Linked DNA regions of Mus musculus. The protein of the gene in region 1 interacts with the protein of each later gene in a pairwise test. Links are inferred from orthologs where the notes say so. Each region holds a gene or a part of one and is shown in the gene's direction. Other genes may lie near its edges.

The links.
Region 2: the proteins of Lhx9 (region 1) and Khk interact in binary tests that used the Homo sapiens proteins (3 or more experiments, as listed by UniProt). The two-hybrid records come from large-scale screens. The link is inferred for Mus musculus from reciprocal best matches to the Homo sapiens genes LHX9 and KHK.

The regions. Positions count from the first base shown.
Region 1 is NC_000067.6:138,839,344-138,843,900, reverse strand, and holds the start of Lhx9 (LIM/homeobox protein Lhx9), read left to right. Parts: upstream 1-1,456; 5' UTR 1,457-1,919; coding exon 1,920-2,093; intron 2,094-3,825; coding exon 3,826-4,028; intron 4,029-4,557. UniProt on the Homo sapiens protein: Involved in gonadal development.
Region 2 is NC_000071.6:30,927,777-30,931,580, forward strand, and holds the end of Khk (ketohexokinase), read left to right. Parts: intron 1-666; coding exon 667-739; intron 740-1,744; coding exon 1,745-1,891; intron 1,892-2,771; coding exon 2,772-2,860; intron 2,861-2,939; coding exon 2,940-3,097; intron 3,098-3,185; coding exon 3,186-3,271; 3' UTR 3,272-3,472; downstream 3,473-3,804. UniProt on the Homo sapiens protein: Catalyzes the phosphorylation of the ketose sugar fructose to fructose-1-phosphate.

The DNA.
Region 1 (4,557 bases):
TCCCTAGCCCCTTTCCCCAGCTTCTTCTCCTCAGCCTTCCTTCCAGATTGGGTTAAAGTTCCACGTGGAGCCGCCTGGGTGGAGGGAGGCGGCGGTGCCGCGGGGTGCTTCTCCAGCTTTCTAGACAGAAGCCCCGATGCTCGCCCGCAAGCCCGAGAAGTGGTGGTGAAGCCGAGACTGGCGAGCAGGCAGAGAGGAGCGGGAGCGGCCAGGCTTTCTTCCCTTTCGGATTAAGTTCCCGTCGCTGCTCCTGGCATCACGATCCTAGGACTCCCCCCACCCCCACCCCGTGGTCGTTTCAGTGAATCCACAATATCAGAGTATTGCGGTATTGTGGACACGTTTTAATGGGTCCAGAGGGAGGGGAAGGGCCGAGCTAACTAGAACAGAGGGCGACAGAACAATACCATCTCTTGTGAGGAGCAGTCTGCCATCCTGCCTGTTAGTTCTCACTTCCCCGCCTCCACCCAGAGCCTCTTTCACACCCTTCTAAGTGTGTGGAACACTAGCGGCTATTGCCTCGTCGTCCTACCCTAGTCGGGCATCCAGCTCACCCAAGACCTGTGCACGGTGACAAATTCCAAAGGGGACTCTAGAATTCCAAGTTTACCTTCAATCTAGAATTAGGTAAAAGAGTAACCCGCTCCACGGTCAAGGTTCTGTTAAGTATACAGTCTACAAAAGCATGTCCTGGCCTGTACACTCGAAAAATTTACTATATATATGTATATATATATATAGTAAATATATATATTTCCAAAAGTATTACTCAGAAAAGTAGGCTCTCCACGCCCCTTTTTCACTTTGGTGGACGTCTCAGAGCCTGGTGGCACCGCCTGCCCTCGGGGAGGTTAGGCAAGCAGACAACTGTCTGAAGAGTGCTTTTAATAAGTAAGTTAAGAAGAGATGGGGAGCAAGGGAGCATACATTAAAAGTACCGTTTCCGTGGAGTGATTCAAAGTCTGTGGGGTTTTTATACATTTCTGGTGACAGTCTTGTAAAACGGGGATTTAAAAAAGTCTGTAGATGAGAAGGAAACTTAAGGTTTGGAACTGATCTTCTGTGCACTCCTGGCTGGGGTCGGATAAACTAGGATCAAATCCAGGATGCGGACAATAAGGGCTCCTTTACCGCTTTGAAAACATGACTGTTGGGAACTCTTGGAAAGATGTATGCTTGAGGGTGTGTGTGTGTGTGTGTGTGTGTGTGTGTGTGCAGGCGCGCATGTGGGGAGGGGGTAAAGACCCCCTCCTTCTGCCTTTCCCCCAGTCCCCCACCCCTTTGTAATGTTTGTCCCTGCTTGCCCATCACCAGGGGGTTGAGAGGAGGTATGACAGGTCTTTGTTGTCTGAATAAAAATCCGTGGCAGCTCCAGGGAGAGGACTCCTCCTACTAAATTATCAAAAATGGGCTGGCTTTAGTCTCTTAACAAATTGGACACAGCTCCGGCTGGAGCAGTCCCCAACGCAACCTACAGGCACTGGGAACTTGCAGGCAGCCGGGGACCGCTGAATCTAGCACTTCGTTCTCTTTCTTTGTGTTCAAAACTATTTTTCTTTCTTCCTTAGATTTTGTTTTCCTCCCCCCCACTTCAACCCCCCTCGGCAGTTGTTTTCCATTAGTAACTCGATCTCTCGCTGCAGTTAGAATCGCCTGCTTTTCCCTCCGTCCGCGTTTGTTTGTTTTCTGCACATCTCCTTCTGGAAAACCCTGGATATCCCCCCCCCCCGCCCCCTTCCCCGTCGTTCTTTTGCCTCGGTCTTTTCCCTCTCAAGTAGAGCTATTTCTACTCTGTCGTTTTCTTCTTTCCTCTCTTGTCCCTGTTCCCCAACGCGTCTCTACGCTTCTGCATCGCGCAGCCCTGTGCGGTCGCTTTTGCTTCTTCACTCGAATGAACTGAGAGCCCCAGGCGTGTGTTTATGGAAATAGTGGGGTGCCGAGCCGAAAACAATTCGTGTCCTTTCCGCCCCCCAGCCATGCTCTTCCACGGAATCTCCGGAGGCCACATCCAAGGTATCATGGAGGAGATGGAGCGCAGATCCAAGACTGAGGCCCGTCTGACCAAAGGCACTCAGCTCAACGGCCGCGACGCGGTAAGGACCAGTCCGGGCGCGGCGCCCGGGAAACAGCGAGTCTCCCGGTCCGCCCAGGTTGGGGATGGCGGGTCCCGGGGACTTTTGCCTAGGGATGTTCGCAAGGTTTTCACGAGAGGCGTGCTTGCTAGGCAAGGTTCCCTTTCCGAATCGAGGTGTCTAAGATGTTGTAGTCCTGAGCTCTCCAGTCTTTGTATAGCAGCTGATCCCGAGCCGACAGGGCAGCGGGCCTTGGAAGGAGCGGGCGTGCTCCCTGCCAACCACAAACTCCAGTCTCCCGCGACCTGGCCGCCAGGCCGGATCCGCCCGCCCCCAGGGCAAGCCTTGGTGCAGTTAATAGGGGGACTACTTACCGGCCTGGCGTCCTTGCCCTGGGATAGAAGACAAGACCTTCAGAGTAGACCTCAACGTTCTGGTCCTTTTCCCATTCTTCGGAGCTCAGCACCCGAAACCAGAGATTGTTAGGGGCTCTGCAGGACAGTTCAGCTGCTCTGGTCGTCACAAAAATTGCGTTTCTCTTCCTTATGGGACCAGTGTATTGGATAGTGGGAAATCAAATCAAATAAAATGCGAAGGAGCGGGTCCCTAGTCTAAAAGCAAGAACATGAGCGCTACAACCTCAAGAGATGGAATCTACTATTGCGGTTCCTATTCGTAACAGCAGTTATTATGTCTTCGTGAAAATACTAGTAACCTAAACATGTCCCCCTTCCACGCACCAAAGGGGGAAAAAACTACAGAAGTCTGCGGAGATGATTCCGGGCAAAGAGTGCTTTGTAGACCCTCTGTATAACAGCAAGGACTGTAGCTCAAACTGACCCGAGAGGGCTCTAGACAAGAACAGCGAGGTTTTGGGATAATAGTCCACTGTCGCTATTTGTATAATTAATTCAGTGAGAATCCAATATCTGAGTAAAGGACGAAATTTATCCTTCCCATGCCCACCAGAATGTAATAAGGGAAGCCCGGACTGTTTCTGCTAGTCTGAGGAAAGGGTCCAGCGGTGAACTTTTTACTTGTAATGGCTACTTTATTTTAAAAGCGGCAACCACATCCCAACTGTGTTTCTCAGAATAAGTTTTACCGCCTTAGCTAGCCTCATTTGGGAACTAGGTCTTAGTTTGGGAATCAAAAATTCAAGATAATTATCTGTGCTGTTTGTGCTGGCTAGAGAAAAGAGCGAGTGTACGGAAAAGAATGGATGGGGCTCTTCTTTCAGGACAGGCACTTCACTTTCTCACCAAGGATAGGGCTAGGGCGACGGCCTTAACAGCAAGAGCTGTTAGGTATGTCCGAATCACAACGACGGCCAAATTATTCTGCCTATATAAATTAAAAAAAAAGGAATTATAGTATTGTCTGTGTATAAAAGATTCACGTACTTCAGAATTCTAGTTCTCAATAACAGTTTGTTATTTTATTTTGTGTATTATTTGAAAGTTACACATTTTTAGCCTTAGTTATTCTCCTTCTGGACCGCCCATCAAAACATCCTGTAGGCTCTCAGCAAGCTCAAGATGTTGAGATTTTTTTTTAGGGTCACAAGGCTAGGAGGATCAGGATGCTAGGAAGGGGAACAGAATGTTGAAAATGGGGGGAAGTTGCAAATGTTTCTGTGGCCCTTGTAATGGTGTGCTGTTTTGCGCTGGGGTTGCCGTTCTGCCAGGACGTCCCGGGTTGTGCGGCAACGCCCCGAACCCACCCTCAGCCTTGCCTTGTGCTTGTTTCACAGGGTATGCCCCCTCTCAGCCCGGAGAAGCCTGCTCTGTGCGCCGGCTGCGGGGGCAAGATCTCCGACAGGTACTATCTGCTGGCCGTAGACAAACAGTGGCATCTTAGGTGCCTGAAGTGCTGTGAATGTAAGCTGGCTCTGGAATCTGAGCTCACCTGCTTTGCCAAGGACGGTAGCATTTACTGCAAGGAGGATTATTACAGGTACTGCCCCCACCCCCAGCCCCTTCACACACTCCTCTGACCCAATTCACCAGATAGAACCACTGCGATAGAGCCACTGCGAGAATCCGGAGTCCCTTCTCTGTCCCTTTTTTTTTTTTGGCTCGGTCAGAGTACAGGTGTGTGTGTGTGTGTGTGTGTGTGTGTGTGTGTTGTTTTTCGTAAATGAGGGAAATTGCCTTAAAACTGTGTATACTCCATTGGTGAGGATGGGCGAGAAGGATCCCAGGGTGTAATGAGTTTTATCAGGGTTCTCAGCTCTTCACAGCATCCTCCGGAAAAATCAGGGAGAAGAGGAAATGGACAGGTATCAGGTGAAGGAGACAATATTTTGTTGTTGTTGTTGTTGTGTTTTGTGGTCCCCCTCAATATGAATTGGCCAGCTCCCCCACTTTTGGCCCAGAAAGCAGCAGCCAGGTGGGTGACAATGGTCCTGTAAATGCCTATGAAAAAGTCACAGAGGCCACTGTTCCAGAAATGGCTAGTCAGAACCAGATTGAAGGAAACAAAA
Region 2 (3,804 bases), on another chromosome or scaffold:
CCCTCTGGCCTGGATCCAGGCATATTCACATACATATCTCCAACTGCAGAAGGCCCAGGAGACCAAGGACTTTTATACCCAGAAAGGCTCGCTCATGCCACTGGTGAGGATGGAAGGCACTCTACTGCACTACAGAAAAAACACATGTTGTGTGGCCAAGGCCACCTAGACCAGCCAAACAAAAACTCTTCCTCAGAGTGCCAGTTTTGACCTAAGGGATGACGTGGGGAGCCTGACTCAGTAGGGTGTTCTGTCAGTTGCAAGCTCCCAACTAAGAGACTAACTAAAGAAGCTTTGTAGTTCGATGTGTGCTCCCAGCAAGGGGCCTTCTGGGAAGTGTAGTCTCAGCAAGAGGCCTTCTGGGAAGTGTAGTCTCACACACTCATTCTGGAGGACGTGGTTTCCAAGGAACATGGGGCTGGCTTCTTGTCACATGTTGTAATTGTGTTTATCCTTGGATAATTTAACACGGACACACACCACCACCAACAAAAAAGGACACCTAAGCAAAGTAGGACAAGGCTCACCTCACCGTAGGGCTCAGAGCTCTGTGCTCCCCAGCCTCCTGCCATGCTGCTGGTATCACTACTAGATACAGGGTCCCTAGCTGTCAGAGAACCTGGTACTGGCTGACCTCCTTTTTTCCCTTCCTGTCTTGTAATGTAGGAACCTGCCAGATGTGTCTGCTAAGGACTTTGAGAAGGTCGATCTGACCCGGTTCAAGTGGATCCACATTGAGGCAAGCCCTTCCCTACCTGTGTTTCTAGGGGCTTAGCCTGTCAGGCCCTTCTGCATGGTCAGCCTCTTCTGTAATTTCTTTGAACCATGAAATATGGTAGGGATACTAAATAGCTCTCCCCATCCCTCTCCACTCCTGTGTTTTCCTATGAGGAAACTGAGGCCCAGAAAGAGAGATACAGGGGCATACAATCACAGATAGCACTGGGCAGAAGACCCCATTTTTGTGTTAGGCTACCTCCCTCCTGGTATCTGCCTTTGCTGACTTCTTTTACTTCTCAGGACAGGAAGGACAGGAAGGAGAGGGTCTGGAGGGAATTAGAACTTTCTTTCCAAGGGAGAAGTTTTGGGATCAAGATGAGAGGAAATCTTAAGAAGTGCAGGCATCCACTCCTTGTCTCATCATTTGACTTAGTCTTCAGGTTGTGTCCCTCTCCCTCTCCATCTCTTCTTCACTTTTCCTCTCCTTTCCCGTCTCACCTCCCTGGTCCTTCTTTCCCTCTTTGTCTCATTCTTGTTCTCTCTGTGTGTTTTGTTTGTTTGCTTGCTTGCTCTTTGTTTGACACATGGTCTGGCTATGTAGACCAGGCTGGCCTTGAACTTACAGAAATCTGACTGATTCAGTCTCCCAAGTTCTGGGATTAGAGGAGTGTGCCTCCACACCCAGCCTTTTTCTTTTTTGCTTCTTTTTCTGTCCCGCCTTTCTAGTGTTTTACTATGTAGCCCAGGCTAGCCCAGAATTCACAATCTTCCTGCTTCAGCCTCTCAAGTGCTTTGTTCACAGGCATGTATGTCCAGCATCTTTTATTCTTCAGTCTCATTTGGGAAATGAAAAATTTGGCCAATAAGGTCTCCAAGGTCCATGACAGTCCTAGAATTATGTAGCTGCAATAGTGCTCCAGCCCAGCTTCCTCCAATCCCTCTCCCTGCTCACCCAGAGGTCCATCAGGGAGGAAGGAATGAACTCTTTATCAGCTAGGCTCTGAGCTGCCCTGTCCTGCCCCAGGGCCGGAATGCATCGGAACAGGTGAAGATGCTGCAGCGGATAGAGGAGCACAATGCCAAGCAGCCTCTGCCACAGAAGGTCCGGGTGTCGGTGGAGATAGAGAAGCCCCGTGAGGAGCTCTTCCAGTTGTTTAGCTATGGTGAGGTGGTAAGTGTCCTGCAGCTCCTCCTGCCTATCTCTAGCTAATTGAATCTTAGAGCTAGAGAGGACCCTAGTCCTGCCTACCAGCCTCTGAGTGACAGCCTAGCAGCTCCCAGAAGACCACAGCTGGGAGGCTGGAGGTGACCCAGAAGTAGACTTTTCCCGCTCAGGTGAATCCACAGGTGTACGGCGGACAGGGCTCAGACAGCTATGGGCGTCCCTTGTTTGTCTGCTTTAGTCTTTCCCTCTGCAAAAGAAGGAATGACTGCTCTCCGAGTTACCAGTTTTTCCCACTTAGATGGCATGTTGTGAGGGCCAGTAGCAATGAGAGGAGGATGGGAAGGAGACTCGTACAAGGAAAACTTAGGCCAGAGTGTAAAGGGTATCACTGCTAAAGCTGGTTGGACAGTGTCCAGATGTAGTTTGTTGGCCTTGTTGCCCAATTAAAAAATATGGCAGACTGATCCCCATTCCCCCAGAACTATTCTAGGGACTCTGTCTTGAAGCCACTGTGGAGAGAGCCTTGTTTTACAGATGAACCCACTCTGCAGGGCTGGGCTGTGTGGGGAACAGATGAAACACAGCTCACTCTTGAGAGTCAGTCTGGCTTGACTTCACCCCAAGATGGCGCTCTAGGCTCTTTCTGGGTTTTGAATTCCCTCATGCCAGAATGAAAATACCAGGGCTACAGTATCACAGTTCCCAAGGCTGTATTTTGGCACAACTTAAGCAAACATAAAACGCGTACCTGTGGGTCAGCAAGAAGCCACACTAGGGACTTACGTGACTGAGTTGGAGGAGTTGTGCTATAACCTGGAGTCAACACCAGGTTGTTGGTAGTGAGTAGCAATTAGAGGTGACTACCAGTCTCTTTCACTGCCTACAGGTGTTTGTCAGCAAAGATGTGGCCAAGCACCTGGGGTTCCAGTCAGCAGTGGAGGCCCTGAGGGGCTTGTACAGTCGAGTGAAGAAAGGGTGAGTTGGGAAGCCAAGAAAGGGTCTGAGGGGTCTGGGGGATGACGGGGACTAGCGCCGATCTGTGTGAGTCTTACAGGGCTACGCTTGTCTGTGCCTGGGCTGAGGAGGGTGCCGATGCCCTGGGCCCCGATGGTCAGCTGCTCCACTCAGATGCCTTCCCACCGCCCCGAGTAGTAGACACTCTTGGGGCTGGAGACACCTTCAATGCCTCTGTCATCTTCAGCCTCTCGAAGGGTGAGGTCATCACCATGCAGCCAGGGCAGGGCTGGGCCTGTCATGCTCCCAAACACCAGGCTGAGCCTGCTATTTGTCCTTTCTCCAGGAAACAGCATGCAAGAGGCCCTGAGATTCGGGTGCCAGGTGGCTGGCAAGAAGTGTGGCTTGCAGGGGTTTGATGGCATTGTGTGAGAGGCAAGCGGCACCAGCTCGATACCTCAGAGGCTGGCACCATGCCTGCCACTGCCTTCTCTACTTCCTCCAGCTTAGCATCCAGCTGCCATTCCCCGGCAGGTGTGGGATGTGGGACAGCCTCTGTCTGTGTCTGCGTCTCTGTATACCTATCTCCTCTCTGCAGATACCTGGAGCAAATAAATCTTCCCCTGAGCCAGCTTTGTCTGTCTGTCTGTCTGAGTGGGGTTTTGTTTGTTTGTTTGTTTGTTTTTTTATTGGTTTTCTGTTCGAGATAGGGTCTGGTCGTGAAGCTTAAGGTTGATCATGAACTTGAAACGCTCCTGTTTCAGCCTCCCTGTGCTGGGATCCCAGGCCTGGCTCATTCGCCCTCGTGGATCTTCACCCTGCTCTGGTTGGAACTGAGGTTCTGACACTACACTCCAGCAACTTTTCTCTTCCTCCTTCTTCATTCTTTAAATAGCCTCACCCACTAACCCAGCGGGGAGGGCATGCAGTCCAAAGCAGCTGGCGTGCTCCCACCTCCTGTCAGC